Oryctolagus cuniculus: one gene and its partner. The protein of the gene in region 1 purifies or fractionates together with the protein of each later gene. This does not show direct contact. Links are inferred from orthologs where the notes say so. Each region holds a gene or a part of one and is shown on either strand. Other genes may lie near its edges.

What was found.
Region 2: the proteins of UBE4B (region 1) and UBL7 purify together in Homo sapiens (affinity purification with mass spectrometry; 3 studies listed by BioGRID and IntAct, counting the BioPlex papers as one, with this or other methods). This does not show direct contact. The link is inferred for Oryctolagus cuniculus from reciprocal best matches to the Homo sapiens genes UBE4B and UBL7.

The regions. Positions count from the first base shown.
Region 1 is NC_091438.1:158,077,814-158,086,723, reverse strand, and holds part of UBE4B (ubiquitin conjugation factor E4 B), read left to right. Parts: intron 1-1,394; coding exon 1,395-1,623; intron 1,624-2,064; coding exon 2,065-2,481; intron 2,482-3,157; coding exon 3,158-3,310; intron 3,311-8,910. UniProt on the Homo sapiens protein: Ubiquitin-protein ligase that probably functions as an E3 ligase in conjunction with specific E1 and E2 ligases. May also function as an E4 ligase mediating the assembly of polyubiquitin chains on substrates ubiquitinated by another E3 ubiquitin ligase.
Region 2 is NC_091443.1:109,214,837-109,224,457, forward strand, and holds the start of UBL7 (ubiquitin-like protein 7), read left to right. Parts: upstream 1-3,825; 5' UTR 3,826-3,867; coding exon 3,868-3,907; exon of another isoform or gene 3,908-4,162; intron 4,163-5,288; coding exon 5,289-5,501; intron 5,502-6,719; coding exon 6,720-6,839; intron 6,840-9,582; coding exon 9,583-9,621.

The DNA of each region.
Region 1 (8,910 bases):
TTTTTTTTTTTTTTTTGTTTCTTTTTAAGATTTGTTTATTGGAGAGGCAGAGTTATAGACAGAGGAAGAGAGAGAGGTCTTCCATCTGCTGGTTCACTCCCCACATGTCCACAGTGGCCAGAGCTGGACTGATCCGAAGCCAGGAGCAAGGGTCTTTTTTTTTTTTTTTTTTTTTTTTTTGACAGGCAGAGTGGACAGTGAGAGAGAGAGACAGAGAGAAAGGTCTTCCTTTGCTGTTGGTTCACCCTCCAATGGCCGCCGTGGCCGGCGCGCTGCGGCCGGCGCACCGCGCTGATCCGATGGCAGGAGCCAGGTGCTTTTCCTGGTCTCCCATGGGGTGCAGGGCCCAAGCACCTGGGCCATCCTCCACTGCACTCCCTGGCCACAGCAGAGGGCTGGCCTGGAAGAGGGGCAACCAGGACAGAATCTGGCGCCCCAACCGGGACTAGAACCTGGTGTGCCGGCGCCGCTAGGCGGAGGATTAGCCTAGTGAGCCGCGGCGCCGGCCCAGGAGCAAGGGTCTTCTTCAGGTCTCTCATGTGTGGCAGGGGCCCTAGCACTTGGGCCTCTTCCACTGCTTTCCCAGGCCATAGCAGAGAGCTGGAACAGAAGAGGAGCAGCTGGGACACAAACCGGTGCTTGTATGGGTTGCTGGCGCCACAGGAGGACGTATAACCTGCTACACCACAGCTCGGCCCCAGCTTTTTTGTGTTTTACAGCAGTGACTTCATTCCCGCTTTTATATTATTTTACTTTTTTTTTTAAACTTAGTTTCATTTTTAATTTGAAAGCAGAGAGACAGAGAAATCTTCCATCTGCTGGCTCCTTTCTCAAATGCCAGCAACAGCCAGGGCAGGGCCAGGAGAAAGCCAAGAGCCCAGCTCTCAATCTAGGTTTCCCATGTGGCTGGCAGGGACCAAGTACTTGAGCCATCGTTTGCTGACTCCCAGGGTGCACCTGAGCAGAACGAGGGGTTGGAAGCAGAGCTGGGAGTTGACCAGTCCCTCCGATATGGGAAGCAGGCATGCCAAGCATCAACTTAACCAGTTTGCCCATTTTTTTTAAATGAACTTTTAATTTTGGAATAATTTTATAGACTTAAAGAAAAGGTTCAAAGATAGTGTAGGACATTCCTATGTACATTTCTCCCAATTTCCCTTCATGTTGATATCTTACATGAGCATAACATGTTTTTCAAAAACTACAAGATTGCTGTTAACTAAACACCAGATTTTATTTGAATCTTTGCCAGATTTTCCACTCATGTCCTTTTGCTGCTCCAGAATCCAGTCTGGGATACCACATTGAGCCACCCTGGATCATTTTGGTTTATTTGAGGATCACGCGAATGAAGAACTGTGTGTAACCTGCTCTCTGTTCTGCCTTTCCAACAGTGTTCTCTGATTTTAAGGACTTAATTGGCCAGATTTTAATGGAAGTACTAATGATGTCTACTCAGACAAGAGATGAAAACCCCTTTGCCAGTCTGACAGCCACATCCCAGCCCATTGCAGCAGCAGCTCGGTCACCAGACAGAAATCTCATGCTGAATGCTGGCTCCAACCCAGGAACAAGCCCCATGTTCTGCAGTGTGGGCTCCTTCGGGGCCAGCTCTTTGTCTAGGTCAGTGTGGTTCTCTCTGCACATCTGATTGGTTAGCTGTGAAATACATAAGAAAAGGGAGGGTTTACTCATGATGAGAATCTGTGTCACACAGATTACGGTATATAGTCTGTTTGGGGGTTGGGTTCAGTCGTTGGAAGTGATATCATTTCCAAATTGGGGGTTTTTTGGTGGTGTTTTGTTACTTTGCTATCCACGGTTAGGCCATTGGCAGTTAAATCTTAGAAGCAAATGGCTGTCTGCTATACTATTTACTGAGGAGTGGGCTTTATAAATGTAGCCCATGGCTGAGTCCATAATTAGGTTATGGTTATTTAGATGTTTGCAGATACAGGATGTAACTGTACACTTCTTTAAAATCCTGATGCTTTCCATTTTAGTTACTTATCTCAAATGTTTCTTTGATTTTCTCTTCTCTCCTCCCTCCCTCTACTAATGTAGCCTCTATGAAACTAGCCCTACCCCCATTGCCAGTTTCTGGAGCTCTGTGCCCACGCTAGGTCCACCCTCTGCCTCACCCTCCCGGGCAGCCAGCCAGGTGGCCACGCCTTCTGCCTCTGCTTCCCTCAGTCCTCACAGCACAGCTTCTGGAACTGCTCTAGGAAGCCAGCCCTCGTCTCCCCGCTATCGCCCCTACACTGTCACCCACCCGTGGGGGGGTGCCCCCTGTCCCACCCCCCGGTCCCCCAGCATCAGCGTCCCGTCAAGCTCCCCAAGCCTCCGTGCGCTCACCAGTAGCCCCCAGGCAGTACCCACTAGCAGTTCCAGACAGCGGCCCAGCAGCATGGGCCCGCCCTTCCCGCCCGCCTCGCCCAGTGCTACACGCAGACGTCTGTCCCCCCTGAGGACCTCTCCTAGGTATCGGTCAGCAAGCAGCTGCGTGTGCGTGTGCAGTGCAGGGAAATGAGGTTAACATGCTTTGGGAGAACCGCTGTGTGGCACTGACCTCAGGGGTATTTGGGGGTTGTTTTGGGGTTATTAACCCGTATCGCTGGCTGACTCCGCACTTCTGCAAGACCTTGACCGCGTCCGAAAGCGTGGGCTGCTCTCTTGTTGCACATCCCTCTCTTCCCTCCTCCTCTGTGTACAAAAGGGAGAGAGAATGAACTTTGTTTCCTGCAGTCTGGTTCACCTGTCATTTGTTGCAGATGAATTTCAGAGACTGTGGTCAGGGCTGTCTTTGAGTTGGGGCTCACAGCACCTCTTTGAGTTTCTGTGCTGGTGCCATTGGTGGCTAAAACACCATCAGAGCGGGGAGCTGGGGGGCACATCTGGGCCCGGCGCCTTTTGCTTCTGCTGAGTGGCGCTGCTGCCTTGACACTTTGATTTTGGTTGCATGTCACTTCCGCCTCTTAGAAAGAAGCAGAGTTCCACGAAGGCGGCCCCTCCTCTCAGATGTCCCGCTGTGCTTCTGCATGGCAGTGGACGAAGCTTCTAGGGAAGGTTTCCGTAAGAAGACAGCGGCTGCGAAAGCTCTCCGCGTCTTGTTTCTCCTTTGCCCTGACTGCCTTTTTTGCTTTCTGTTGTGAGGTAGTGTGTACGACAATCCCTTCTCCTTCCTCTTCCTCGCACTTGCTGGGGACAGTAGTGATGAAGAAGATGAAGAGGATGATGATGATGATGGTGATGATGATGATGAAGGTGGTGGTGGTGGTGATGATGTTTCTTGTGTCCAGTTTGGGTCCAGGTATCAGGAGTGCCGGCTCACCCTGCATGTGCATAGTGCTTACGAACTAACTTGTGAGCCCTAATGAGGGTGCGCTTTGACTGCAGGCAGGAGAGGGTCAAGTGGGGGGCTAGGCAGTGTGTAAGTGTCAGGACCTTCTCGTGATAAAGGGGCACGTGGCACATTGTCATTGCTGTTGTCTGGTAAGTGTGGAAGACAACTGTATGTGTCATTGTTTACTACAAACCTGAAAGCAAACTAAATCATCACTCAGTTCCCCCGCCTCTAGGTCTGGAACTCTTCCTTTGTCCGTTGTGAGAGTGTTCCTGTGAGTCATCCACTGCTTTCCGAAATGCAGCTGCAAGGGTTACTGCTGTGGAGGATGGCAGAGGGCTGGGACCTGGGGTGTGTGTGAGCGGGAGAGGGGAGAGAGAAGCAGATCCCGTGAAGGACATTCCGTCTGAGGGAACAGGGATCCTGCTTTCGCTTCTAACCCTGAATTTCTCTGAGCACCTTCTTGACCTCAGTGAAGCCAGACTCCGTGTAAAGGAGCCTTCGGGAGGGCGGCAGAGGCTGACGCAGGGTTCCTGATGCTGCCACATGTGCACCCCCGAAGACAGAGTGAAAAGTGCTACTAGGGTTTTCTAGGTGACTTGGAGTAAGAAAGTGCACTAGCACTTTCTTTCTAATGCCCGACTCACTGCTGAACACTTTGGTTCCTAATTGGAAGTTTCCTCTGCACCAAGTCAAAGCTTCTGCCCGCACCGTTCAAATAACTGCCGAGGATCGAGAGACTGCAGGAGCCGTCAGGTGCACGGCGCTGAGCTGGGCGGAATTCAGGAGAAGGCTTGCAGGATAGAGGAGGGAGCCGTGCAGGGAGTCGCTGGACATTCCGTCACTGCTTCTCCAGGACGGATCCCAGAGGTGGGCGTGTCTCTTCACGCAGCGGGAGTTCTGCTAAGTCAGCAGGCCTCCTCCTGAGGAGCCCGTCTCCACCCCTGGCAAAGCTTGGTCTCTTCCACTACAGAGTTCACCCTTCTTCCCCCCTCCCTCCCTGGACATCTCCCCTCACCTCTGTGTGTTGTGTGCATACTGTCTCATCAGAGGGTCACTGACCCTGACCCCTGACCTCATCACATTAAACACGATGTGCCCCCTCCCTCTGCTGTGCGCTGCAGGTATTTGGCTCCATAGCACGCGCCTAGTTGGTTTTTAACTGCCACTCCCCTCAGTGTAACGGCCACATCTACAAGGCCTCCGTCCGTTTGATTCAGTGCTGTGCCCCGGGGCCTCCGGTGGTGCTTGGCATGCATCTCTTGAATGAGTTTATGGAACTTGAACCTGCACAAGTCTGACTGCCTCACATTGCGAAAAGCAGGATTTCCAGGCTGCCGTTGAGAAGTTAGTAGAGGGGGGGAGCTGCAGCAGAGTCCCTTTGGGAAGCAGGTTGTCTGGGGTGTAAATGGGATTCAGTCTGCGCTCGTGGGACGGCGTTACCTCCCCATGAGTCGTTTCATCGTGTTTTCAGAGGATTGAGCTATGTTTCTTCTGTTGTTAAGACTTTTAAAAATGTATTTGGAAGGCAGAGTGACAGGAGAGAGAATCTTCCATGTAATGGTTCACTCTCCAGATGGCCACACTGGGGCTGAGCCACACTGAAGCCAGGTGGCAGGGACTTAATGCCATCTTCTGCTGTTTGCCACACACATCAGCAGGGAGCTGGGCGGAGGCAGCGTGGCTGGGACGGAACACAGACTGGAGCCAGTGTACAAGATGTGTGTGTCCCAAAGGGCAGCCTAACCTGCTGTGCCACTATGTGGACCCCCAAGCTGCTTTTTGATTAGGTGCATTACACGATTAAGTGGGACTGCTGATGGAGGCATCAAAAGGCAGTTCACATCCTCTCCAAGAGGGAGGTATAATTTTTTAGATCCTCTTAGGACTTCACTGTGATATGTTTCTAAGATTTCAGCATATTGCAGTTGTAAAAGCATCATGAATTTTTAAAAAGTTTTTGAGGAAAAATGAAGAGCTACTTTAAATATTTTAGAGGTTTATTGATAGTATAAATTTATACATATAAATTATGCATCACTCCTTCAGAATGGCCTTCAAAATTCAAATCCAACTCTTTCACTTTGAATCTAAAAAATCCCCATAAGTCAACTTTGACCATTGACACTTGGGCTGAGCTTTGGTGAGCCTGGCCACTCTCCATGCTATGGTTCTGAGTTCCTTTGGCATGTTTAGGGTGGGTCCTATTATTTGGGGCTTATTCTACATTCTCATTTTTTTAAAAAATTCCTATTTGGTTTTATTTATTTATTTTTAAAGATTTATTTATTTATTTGAAAGAGTGAGAAGGAGAAAGGGAGGGGGAGAGGTCTTCCATTCACTGCTTCACTCCCCAATTGGGCGCAACGGCTGGAGCTGCGCGGATGCGAAGCCAGGAGCCAGGAGCTTCTTCCAGGTCTCCCATGCAGGTGCAGGGACCCAAGGACTTGAGCCATCTTCCACTGCTTTCCCAGGACATAGCAGAGAGCTGGAAGTGGAGAAGCCGGGACTCGAACCAACACCCATATGGGATGCCGGCACTGCGGGTGGTGGCTTTACCTGTATGCCACAGTGCCAGCCCCTCCTATTTAGTTTTATTTCATCCACCTCCCACTCCTGCTTCTTTATCTTGAAAGTCATCTGGCTGTTTGGTACGTTACCAATTATCACTAAAATACACCAAACTCTTTTACCTTTGAAAATTCTCTATTTTTTTAATAATTAATTAAGAGCCAGAGATGCAGTCAGACAGAGAGGACGCACCCACTGGCCGACTCCCCAAATGCCTGTAATGACTCTGGGCTGAGGACCAAAGCCAGGAGGCAGAGACTCAATCCAGGTCTCCCTGTGAATGGCAAGAACCCAATTATTGGAGCCATCACTGCTGTAGCCTTACACAGTCTGTGTTAGCAGACAGCTGGAGTCAGGAGCGAAGGTCAGGAATTGAACCCAGACTCTCCACTATGGGATGTGGGCACCTTAACATCTGCCATCTAATATATTCTGAGTGCCTTCTGATGTATTGCCTGGCATAAGATAAAGTCTTCTACAAACATTGTTGCTTTTCATGTCTTAGTGAAATACTTTGAAAAATATTTCAAGTGACAGTGAGGGGTTTGAATTTAAGGAAAATTAAAAGGAACATGGGGCCAGCATTGTGCTGCAGTGGGTTGAGCCACTGTCTGCATGCCAGCATCCCATGTGAGTGTCTGTTCTAGTCCTTGCTACTCTAATTCTCATCCAGCTTCTTGCTAATGTGCCCAGGAAAGCAATGGAAGATGGCCTAGGTTTGTGGGCCCCTGCCATCTACCCATTCACGTGGGAAACCTGGATGGAGTTCTGGCTTCTGGCTTCGGCCTGGCCAAGCACAGGGCCATTAGGCCATTTGGGGATAAAAGATTTCTCTCTCTCTCTCGTCTCCCTCTTTTTCTGTAACTCTGCCTTTCAGAGTCATTTATATTAGAGCCACAGACAAAGTGAGGGAGAGACAAAAAGAAAGGTCTTAAATCTGCTGGTTCACTCCCCAAATGGCCTCAGTGGTTGGAGCTGAGCCGGTCCGAAGCCAGGCACTTCCCCTGGGTCTCCCAGGCGGGTGCAGGGGCCCAAGTATTTGGTCCATCTTCCACTACTTTCCCAGGCCATATCAGAGAGCTGGATCAGAAAGAGGAGCAGCTGGGACTAGAACTGGCATCCATATGGTCTGCCGGCGCCATAGGCAGAGGTTTAACCTCCTATGCCATAGCACTGGCCCTTCAAATAAATAAATCTTTATTTATTTTAATTTTTAAAAAATATTTATTTATTTGAAAGTCAGAGTTACACAGAGAGAGGAGAGGCAGAGAGAGAGAGGTCTTCCATCTGCTGGTAAACTCCCCAATTGGCCACGACGGCCGGAACTGCGCCAATCTGAAGCCAGGAGCTTCTTCTGGGTCCCCCATGCGGGTGCGGGGGCCCCAGGACTTGCGCCATCTTCTACTTCTTTCCCAGGCCGTAGCAGAGAGCTGGATCAGAAATGGAGCAGCCAGGTCTTGAACCGGCGCCCATATGGGATGCCGGCGCTTCAGGCCAGGACGTTAACCCGCTGCACCATAGCACCGACCCTAATAAATAAATCTTTAATAAAAAAAGAAATCATACTTCAAATTTGGAATTAGAAAAGTTAAAAGGAACGTCTTGCTGAGAATGGACTCAGAGGAATGGCAGTCGCGGGAGGCAGCGCCCTCTAAGGAGTTTCTCCGCTGCCTGTGGACCCACATCCAGCTGTCTCCTTGCAGCTGTCAGGGCCGCTCGCTGTCAAACACAAGATACTTTTCATTTCAGACATCTAAAAGTGCAAGGAATATTGGGCCTATTATCCAGGAAACGTAGAGTTTAAAATTTTCATTCTAAACAAGCAGATGATATATTTTCATTGTTATCTACGAGAACTGCTCAGAGGAAAGTTAGCCTCAGCGATGCACAGATAGAAGCCTGCATGATCAGAGTTCACGTTTGGGAAGTGCCGTGAATATAGTCAGGAGACAGTAACGTCAGGGGAAGAGTCTCAGCTTGAAACACAGCGCGCTGCAGGTAGACTGTCTCTGTTTCCCTCTCTTATTTGTCGTTTTGTTATCCATGTGTTGCTTTTTCTGAGCTTTCTGTTGTCAGACCAACTAGCAGATACCAGATCCTACCATTAATTAGCACAGTGTACCAAAAACTATCAGACATGAGCATTTTGTTTTTGTAGGATTTCCTTCCCATGTTGGTGAGCTGCTTTGTGGTTGGCTCAGTTAACCTGCCCAGGTGGCTGGGAGTCGGCGGCCTTACTCCTGTGAGTGCCCCACAGCCTCGCCTGCTCCGTCCCCTCCTTGCAGACCCAGATTTTAGGTCATAGGAGCTGAAACTTACGAGGCTCTGGGCTGAAAGCCTAGAATTTAAAGTTTGTGCTGTTTTCACCTTCTTTACTGAAATGCCTTCATATCACAATTTCACTTCAAGGTTAATTGTATTTTTCCTGAAATTCTAAGGTCAGTTATGTATGTATTCCAGAATGAGTTACGTGGATCTGTCTGTGTGTATAACATGCCGATCTCTCAATTCTTCTCAGTTCTTTTAGTTTAGTTTATTATTTTTTTGTTAACTTCTCAAGCAATGTGGTTTTTCTAAGGTTTATTTAATTGAAAGGCAGAGTTCCAGAGAGAGGGAGAGAAAGAGAGAGAGGTGTTCTATCTGATGGGTCACTTCCCAAATGGCTGCAATGGTCAAGCAGAAACCAGGAGCCAGGAGCTCCATCCAGGTCTCCCACCATTACTTGGGCCGGCTTCCATTGCTTTCCGAGGCACATTGGCAGGAAGCTAGATTGGAAATGGGACAGCTGGAACGCAAACTGGTGCTCATGTGGGATGCTGGCACCACAAGCAGCAGCCACAGCGCAGGCCCTTGGTCCTGTATTGTCTGCCCCAGGTGGAAGCCAGCAGGTGCTTCAAGCTGCTCGTGTTCTTCCCCCCTTCTAGCATCTTCACTTGGGATTTTTTCAAACTGAGATTACGTTTTCACTTCCTCTTCATTTTAAACTCTCAGCTGCT
Region 2 (9,621 bases), on another chromosome or scaffold:
CAGCTCCAGCCCTTGTGGCCATCTGGGGAGTGAACCAGCGGATGGAAGACCTCTCTCTCCCTCTCTCTGCCTCTTCTCTCTCTGTGTAACTCTGACTTTCAAATAAAATAAATAAATCTTTTAGAAAAAATGATAGGTAAATGTAAAATGCTAATAATTGGGGACTTTGGGTAAAGGGTAGAAGGGAGCTATTTCACACTACTTTTGCAACACTGCTGTCAACTTGAAATTGTTTAAAAAAAGCAAAAATATATTTTCAAAGACAATTTTAACATGAGAAAATATTCAAACTAAGTGAAACGTTATTAATTTTTTTTTTTGACAGGCAGAGTGGACAGTGAGAGAGAGAGACAGAGAGAAAGGTCTTCCTTTGCCGTTGGTTCACCCTCCAACAGCCACCGCGGCTGGCGCGCTGCGGCCGGCGCACCGTGCTGATCTGATGGCAGGAGCCAGGTACTTCTCCTGGTCTCCCATGGGGTGCAGGGCCCAAGCACTTGGGCCATCCTCCATTGCACTCCCGGGCCACAGCAGAGAGCTGGCCTGGAAGAGGGGCAACCGGGACAGAATCCGGCGCCCCGACCGGGACTATAACCTGGTGTGCCGGCGCCGCAAGGCGGAGGATTAGCCTAGTGAGCCGCGGCGCCGGCTGTGAAATGTTATTATACAAGCATGTAGAACTATCTAAGTTTTGTTGAAGACGTGTTATTTAAATCAATCAACTGTGTTTATTTTTTAAATGCAGAGTGACAGAGAGAAAGAGACAAAGAGAGACACACACAGAGAGAAAGAGCTCTTCCATTCGCTGGTTCATTCCTCAATGGCTGCTACAGCCGGGGTTGGGCCAGGCAGGAGCGTTAGCGGGTCTCCCATGTAGGCGAGGGCCCAAGCACATGGGCCCGCATCTGCTGCTTTCCCAGGTGCACGTGGGCTGGCAGCAGAGCAGCTGGGCCTGGAACTGGCACTCACACAGGATGCCAGCCTTGCAAGCAGCTGACGAACAACGCTGAGACAACACCAAGTTCTCGACTATATTTTCAGAAGCATAAAGTAAGCTAACAATTGCCGTCAGTCTGTGCTAGAATACCCATCCTATATCAAAACAAAACAGAATGTGAGCACCCATGCCACCAGAAGTCAGTGTATTCTGTAGATGTAGCTATCTTTGGGTACAGGAATCAAGATGCGTGGTACTGGCACAACGACAGAAAACTGTATTGATGGTGGGGCAGGTGTCTGAGTCAGTGGTTAACGGGCTGTTAGGGAGGCTGGCGCTGTGGCACAGAGGGGTAGGCTGTTGGCCTGCACTGCCAGCACCCCATACTGGTGCCAGTGCAAGCCCCGGCTGCTCCACTTCAGATCCAGCTGCCTGCTAATGCCCCTGGGAAAGCAGCAGCAGATGGCCCAAGTGCTGAGACCCTGCACCCACGTGGGAGACCAGGAAGAAGCTCTAGGCCCTGCTCCGCCCATTGTAGCCATCTGGGGAGTACACCAGGGGGTGGAAGATCTGCCTCTCCCTCTTTCAAATCCATCAACCTAAAAAAAAAAAAAAAAACACACACTAATGGGACAGAATTGACAGAAACTGACTCATACACAGTCACCTGATTTTTGACTTTCACAATAAAACTTTCCGTGAATATTTGCTAATGGTTTGCTCACACACACACACACACACACACACGCTCAGTTTGGCTCTCTTATTTCCTGTCAGACAGCTTTGGCTTGCTCCAAAGAGCATTTATGTTGCTTTGCCATGAGCCTCAGGACCAGCTTTGGGTGTTCCTGCACAGCCTTGGAAAGTCCCCCTCACACGGGCACAAAGACACGTTTCGGTTTCCGATTCTCGGGTGAGCCCCGACTTTCACACATCAACTCCCCGCCCACTGCCCTCGCCGGGCCAGGCAGAGAGAACTTCCCGTACCCTCCCTGCAGGCTGGCCGTGACCTTCCCCGCTCTCCGCCCTTTCACTTAGGGTGCAGCTATTTTAAGGGTTTCAACTTCAGGCGGAGCTGGTTGTCAGTTTCAGCATCTCAGGTGTTAAAGCAAAAACTCCCGCAAGGTTGCCCAGACCGCAAGTCTTTCTGGGGAGGGGCCCAGCGGCGCTGACGCTCACCGCTGCGTTTCGGTTCCTCCATCTCCGGCGGGGGCTTTTCCACTTCTCCTGGGACTGCAGCCGTGCGGTCCTCATGTATGACTCCATTCACGCTTGGGTTGCATAGAATTATTAGTATTCTACACACACTTGGGCTGGGACTTTTGCTGCTACCTCGCCAGACCCAGAAATCCTTGTATTAATTTCAAAAGCAGGAAAGAACGCTATTTGTAACATGTCAGCACCCACGTGCTGTGAGGGGTGCTGCGTGGGCTGCTCGCTCTCTTGCCGGTTCTGATGGCCCAGCGCTATCTCAGAGCCCCTCACCGTGGACGGGCCGAAGGGCTGGGCCTGCTCCTGCGTCCCGGTCTTGTGTCCAGGTTAGCATTTTCTCTAGGACCCGGCCGACCCTCACGTTGGAGCCCAGCGCCCATCCACGGCTGGGTTCCCAAAGAATCTGTTTATTCCCTCATCCACTTGCTCATCTCCTCTTGGGGAGCAAGACAGCTAGAGCGCATAGCTGTGGCCCGAAGAATCCATCCAACACTTCCTTACTGCGCACCCACTATGGGCCAGGCCCTAGTCCGGTGGAGGGCAGGACAGAGTCCATTCCCCCACGGAGAGGCCAAAACTACTCTAAAGAACATATTCACAAGCTCCCAGCGCGGTCAGACAGGGTCGCGGGCTCCTGCTGCAGGCGCCAAGGCACAGTACGGACGTCTGATAACAAGACGGGCAGCGTGGTCAGCGAGGCAGACAGGACCCCAAATAGGGCGGGATGGTTGGGGCGACTCCTGAGACGTGGCGTGGCTAAGGGCGGGCCGGTAGGGTGGGCTAAGGGGGCGCCTATGGGGACAGCCATGAGGGGCCTGGGCTTCCGTCCGAAGCCAGGGCAGACCCTGGGGGAGCCCAGCAGGAGGGCGGTCATCCTGTGGCCGGTGTCCGAAGCCAGGGCAGACCCTGGGGGAAGCCCATCAGGGGCGGGGGTCATCCTGTGGCCGCTGTCCGAAGCCAGGGCAGACCCTGGGGGAGCCCATGGCGGGGGTCATCCTGTGGCCGGCGTCCGAAGCCAGGGCAGACCCTGGGGGAGCCCCGCAGGGGGGCGGTCATCCTGTGGCCGGCGGAGCAGCCCCGGCGGCCGCCATCGTCTACCTCGCCACCTCCGGACATCCACCCTTTCTGCGGCGGCTCCTCTCGGGGCTCCAGGCCACCCCACCCCGAGCCCGGTCCGGAGTCTCTCTCCAGCACGGAAGCTAACTCTAAACTCGTGCAAACTCCCCCTCCGCACCCCGCCGCGGCAGAGGGCGCCCCGGGAGCCCCTCCGGGACCAAAGCCGGGCGCACACCGGGACGCCCCCATGGGTAAGTCGCTGGCGGCGGGCGCAAAAGAGGCCGACTCCACGCGTGGGCGGAGAGCCCACCGGCGACGGGCGTAGCGAAGGGAAGGAGGGGTCGCGGCGGGACGCGGGTCAGGGGCCGCCGAGGGCCCAGCGGCGGGCGTCTCCACCGCCGGACCCCACACGCTCCTCAGCGGCGCGCGGGAACCGCCGGGCTGGACACTGTCTTTGAAACAAAAAAAAACGAAAAAACCCACAAATGCCTGTCCCGCGACTCGCGGGGGCGGAAGATGCGGGACGCTGCCCACAGAGAGGCGAGGCGCAGCGCTCCCGCGGGGCAGTTCGAACATCCCGGAAGCCGCGCCCTCCCCGGAACCGGAAGCGTCGCCGCCACGAGCCCGCCCGGGGCGGGGCCACGGCGGGGACTGCAACTCCCACAATGCAGCGCGGCGCTTCCGGTTTCCGGCGCGAGGGCCTGAGTGAGTGTTTACACCGGCGGCCCTGCGGCCGGGTTCCTTCCGCGGGACGGGTGAGGGCGCCGGGCCCCGGGTCGCGCGGGCTGCACGGGGGGCGACTGGTTAACTGGCCGCGCGAGAGCGCTGGGGTCGCCGTGGGACAGCGCCCCTGCCCCCACCCGTCCCTGTCCGTGATCGTGACCGGGTCTCGATCGCGGCGTCGAGTGGAGGGATGGTGCTGCCCGCCTCGGGAACGCGTGTCCGGCTTCAGTGAGCGCGGTGCATATAAAAAGCCCCCTTCCCGCATCTCTTCCCTGTCTTGAACCTGGGGTGGGAGGTCCCTTGGGGGTGCAGCCTCGTGGCCTTTTCCGTCCTCTCTGCTGCCAGAGGCCTGCTTGAGGCGGTAGCGATGCCTGTGACAAGGGCCTGACCCGAGTCTCCCACCCTCAGAGGTTCCCGATTTATTTTCTGGCCGGCCGTGTGTACCAGGGACGGAGACCCTAAAGGCGGCAGATTTTAGGGTCTTCTTGGCAGTGTGGGGCGGGGGCGGGGGCGCTGATGGGAAGCTGTAGCCCCCTTTGCCTCCAGGGGGCAGGGGACGTGGACACGGAGGAGGTTGTAGGTGGGTCGGTCTTGCTAGAAGTGTGCCAAGAGGCCAGAAAGGGAAGAGGACACGGGTGAGCGGGCCTGTGCCCTGGGCGGTGGGCGGTGGGCGGCGAGGTGGGGCCGGGCGGAGCTCTGATGGGGCGGAACCTTCAAGCCGGGCCGTGCAGGTCAGAGCGTGGAGCCGCTGGAGCGGTCATAAGCAGAGAAGTGACCGGACCGCACCTGCGTGTCAAAGCGCTGGGGGGCCGGCCCGGGGGGAGGGGCAGCGGTTAAAGGCCCCGCCCGGGCGCCGCCTCCCACGTCGCAGTGCGGGGGTTCAAATCCCAGCTCCTCCTGCTGCACTTCAGCAGGTGAGGGCTCAAGGAGCTGGACCTCGGCCATGCACCTGGGACACGTGGGTTGAATTCGGGGCCCCCAGACACTGGCCGATGGGCAATGGAGAGTGGCAGGTGTCTGTTTCCGTGCCTTGCAAATAAAATGTAAATAAATCAGGTTTACGATGGTGAGTTGGGTGGCCTCGTGGAGGTTTGGTGAGAGGCAGCAGGCAGAGAACTTGCTATGAAGCCGGGAGTGAGTGGGTAGACGAGAGGGGGCTGGGTGGTTTCCTTTGGGCCTCAGGACATTCCTGTGGGGTTGGATGGTGCTGCAGGCCCCTGCTGCCCGACGCAGGATGAGTGCTGGTTCTGGCCCAGATGCTGCATCCCGGGCTTCAGGACACCTGTCTCAGTCAGCCCCTTGGCAGGTGGGCGTGGTGGGGAGGGGCCTGAGCTCCGGCCACTGAGGCTGTGTTCTTTCACAGGGAGAAAGAGAGAGCGCGAACGAGAGAGGATGTCTCTCTCAGACTGGCACCTGGCAGTGAGGCTGGCTGACCAGCCCCTGGCCCCCAAGTCTGTTCTCCGGTTGCCAGAGACAGAACTGGGGGAATACTCGCTGGGGGGCTACAGTATCTCCTTCCTGAAGCAGCTGATTGCCGGCAAACTCCAGGAGTCTGTCCCGGACCCCGAGCTGATCGGTGAGCCTCCGCGTCGAGGTTGGGCGGCTCTCGGCTCTCTCTGAGGAGGGCGCTTCTGGAGTCCTGGGCTTGGATTTGTCTGGAGGTGTTGGTACACCAGGGACGTGCGTGTTGGCTGACCAGACACACGTGTCTTACAACAAAGCGGCTGGTTGCCGTCTCAGTCCGTGTTGTACTGACCGCTTCACCACCAGCTGCTCGCCTGTGACCTCACTGAGCTCTGCCTCTCGAAGGGCAGACACCTGGGAGGGAGGGTCGGCCGGGGAGGACTGCTCAGCGGGTAGCATTCGGGACGATCGATTGGAAGGTCTTTTTTGTTCTTGCATTGTCCCGTTCATTTGAATCTCGCAGCGTCCGCAGGGTTAAGCTGGAAAGCTTTTCTGTGCCAGTTTCCGTGTAACTCCATTTTATGAGTTTGTCCTAACAATTGTTAAAATCCATTGATTGAAGCCGGCATTGTGATACCGCCGCTCGTGATGCCGGCATCCCATACAGGTGCCGGTTTGAGTCCTGGTTGCGCTGCTTCCAACCCAGCTCCCTGCTAATGCGCCTGGGAAGCCAGCAGATGATGGCTCAAGAACTTGGGCCCTTACCACCCACGTGGGAGACCCGGATGGAGTTCCGGGCTCCCGGCTTCAGCCTGGTCCATCCCCGGCCATTGCAGCCATGTGGAGAGTGAGCCAACTGATGGAAGACCTCTGTCTCTGCCTCCCCCTCTACCCGGCTCTGCCTTTTGAAGAAAGAAATTTTTTTTTTTTTTTGACAGGTAGAGTTATAGACAGTGAGAGAGAGAGACAGAGAGAAAGGTCTTCCTTCCATTGGTTCACTCCCCAAATGGCCACTATGGCCAGAGCTGCGCCGATCTGAAACCAGGAGTCGGGTGCCTCCCCCTGGTCTCCCATGCGGGTGCAGGGCCCAAGCACTTGGGCCATCCTCCACTGCCTTCCTGGGCCACAGCAGAGAGCTGGACTGGAAGAGGAGCAACCGGGACTAGAACCCGGCGCCCATATGGGATGCCAGCGCCGCAGGCGGAGGATTAACCAAGTGAGCCACAGTGCCGGCCCCAAAAGAAATACTTTTTAAAAAATCTATTAAATAAGAGTGTCCTTTAAAGTGTACATCACTCCCCAGCTGTCTGTGCGACCAAAGTAAGGTTCTCCGGGGCCAGAAACTGTACATTGTTGGAGGAGCAAACTGTAAAGGGGCGGTTCTTCTCAGATTTGATCTACTGTGGCCGGAAGCTGAAAGATGACCAGACCCTTGACTTCTATGGCATCCAGCCTGGGTCCACTGTCCACGTCCTGCGCAAGTCCTGGCCTGAGCCTGATCAGAAACCGGGTGAGTAGGGGTCGGCCGTCGCACAAGTGGGCGGGCCTTCTGTGAGGGAGGGGTCAGCGTGCTCCCCAGGCAGCAGTAGGGGGGTTGGTTTGTTACTTACGGGATCAGACCGCGTTGGTAAACAGAGTCCCGTTTGGGCCTTGCTGGCCGCTGCGGTGAGATGTGTGTAAGTTCCACTCACTGCCCTCGCGGGGGTTGGAACGTGGGTCTGGTCACAGTGGCTCTGGGTCCCTCCTTTAGTGTTGTTCTCGGCCCCGGGAAAGCTCCGCTCTTCCTTCTCATTGGCAAATCCTCACGCACGTCCGCCCCTCGGGCCCCGTCAGCTGACTCCCCTGCCTTCCTGGTGTGCACGTGGCTCTTAGCGTGTGCAGAGCTCCGAGGCCTCCTGATCCACCCACAGAAGGCGCCGCTTGGAATTCCCAGTGGAAATCTGTTCGGCGTACTAGCTCCCCCGCCCCCAGGGTAAAGCCACGTTGTGTGAGAGAGATTGACTTGTTCGACTCGCTGTTGTGATGTTCGCGATCGCTGTGACGAGCTGTCAGCCTAGGCCGACATTCCTGCCGGGAACGGGAAGGACAGACCATCTCCTGACGGCAGCGAGGAAGAGAGGGGCAGCCCTGCAGTGCTGTGGGCCTGGACACCTGCGCCGGCCGCCGGCCTCGCACAGGGACACCTGCGGCCACTGTGGGTCAGGCCAGAAGCAGGGTCCAAGCCTAACGCCTGGCCCAGACAGCCCCTCTCCTGGCACGCTGCCTTTCCCCACGTGCACCTGTCGTTTTCCTTCCTTGTAGATGAGAGTTCTAAAAGACGCCCAGTCGTGAGATCACCCCACTCTGCCTCTGCAGACCTCCCAGCCCCAGCCCAAGCCCGAAGCCTGCGTCTCTGGCTGGAGCAGTGGGCCCAGCTTGCTCGGATGCGGGCGGGCCGCGTGCTCTCTGGCTGGAGGAAGTTGACAGAAGGAAGAAACATGTGTGGCTCCCGTGAGCCAGGCTTTCCCTTTGATGCCACACTCCATCATCCCAGCGGCCCTGCAGGGGCGGCGGCGGCATGAGCGCTCCGTAGATGCAGAGGCCTGCAGGGGTATTATTCAAGGTCACCTACTCAGAAAGCAGAGCTGGGGCGGGACCTGGGTTTTCCTGGCCTGCAGAGCCTGGCTTCTTCCTGCCCCTCTTAGCCCGTTGCCAGCTCGGGATAGGACGAGGCCTTCTCCTGGACATTTATGTTTGAAACAGATGGACTTCGAGATCTCGAAAGAAATTGATTTGTGACACCATTCAGACTTTCTCCGTGGGCACTGCTCCAAGGAAGCACGTCTCTGGCTCTCCTGCTGGATGGGAGCCAGCCCTAGATGTCCTCGGTCCTGTGGGGCGGGAGACGGAGCCCTGAATTCAGGGTCTCACGTCAGCCTGCTCTAGGCCCACGGGTGTGCACGTGCCCCGAGCTGCAGTCCCAGGCAGCCGCTTGCTGCTCCTTCAGCACCCACATTCTGCTTTGTGCGTGTTCCTGCTGAGGCTCGGGGTACCTTCTTCCCCCAGGAAACACCTCTGCGGGAGGCAGCCGTGTGTCCTGGCCCTGCCTCAGTGATGGCCGTCCGCCGCCACGTTCCCAGTGTCCGAGCTAGGACGAGATCTCCGCTGGCGTGTGTGACCGTGGGCTTGTCCGTTGCATCCGGTCTCCTTTCTCCTGCCAGGGGCTCCCTGGTGGCGGGTTCTTGCCTGCAGTCCTGTGCCTGGCCCAGAGCCAGGTGTGGGCTTCACGCGCAGCAGGTGCCTTGGGTCACTTAGGTGCATATTTGTCGAAGGAGGCACCCTCATGAGGAGCACCGAGCCAGGGGCACGCTGCCAGGTTGCACCCCGGGGTGCTGTTCCCCTCGCTCTGGGAGTGTTGCCCTGGAGCTGGGTGGTGCAGAACGTGTAAGGTCACAGGGAGCGGCCTTGAGCAGTGCCCAGGGTGAGCTTCCCGCTGCTCCCCTCGCGCCACTCACATTTCTTCCCCTGTGAAGTGGGCTGATGTCCTGAATAGCGAGGGCACCCGGCGGACCCGAGACAACTGCCGGACCTTCTCGCACACACGGGTAGAAGTAATCTGCGCCAAAGCAAACTGAGCTTTTAATTCCATTTTCCATGAGCTTTCTGGAGTGCCCTGTGTATGGGTCGCAGTGTCCAGGGGTCGCAAAGGAATTTGGGGCCTGTTGACACGCTCGCTTTGGGGAGTGTGCTGAGTTGGGTAAGAGCCTGGAAGTACAGCGTGTTTTGTTGTTTGTATATTTCTTTAAGAGGGAAAAATAATATTTAGAGAAACCTGAAAGAAAACATCTGAGAGAAGCAGTGGCCGGATCCTGCCTCAGTGCTGTTTTCCCTCCTGTCTCCTCCAGTTGGGGGCAGGTGCTGGGCTTGGTGTCTGTGACGTACTGTGACACGGTCGCTCCGACTGTCACCACGCTGGCCTGGCAGAGTAGTGTCATACATTCTCCCTTTGAATCTGAGAAGCCTTGAGTCCCTGCCGCGGGCTGGCCATAGCGCTCTCTCCTGGCAGCTGGTTTATCTACTTGAAGGTACTCAGAAGAGAGTGCCGTCTTCACATGGTTGGCACAAAGCATTTTTTGTGAATGGCCGCTCCTTCCTGGGGAGCGAGAGGGAAGGGAGCTTGCAGACCAGGCTGACCTGGGCACGGGCTGAGGTGGGGCTGCCACGGGCGTGGGGCGGGGCCTGGGCTGTGGTCGCTGACGGTGTCGTGTCCCCAGAGCCTGTGGACAAGGTGGCTGCCATGAGGGAGTTCCGGG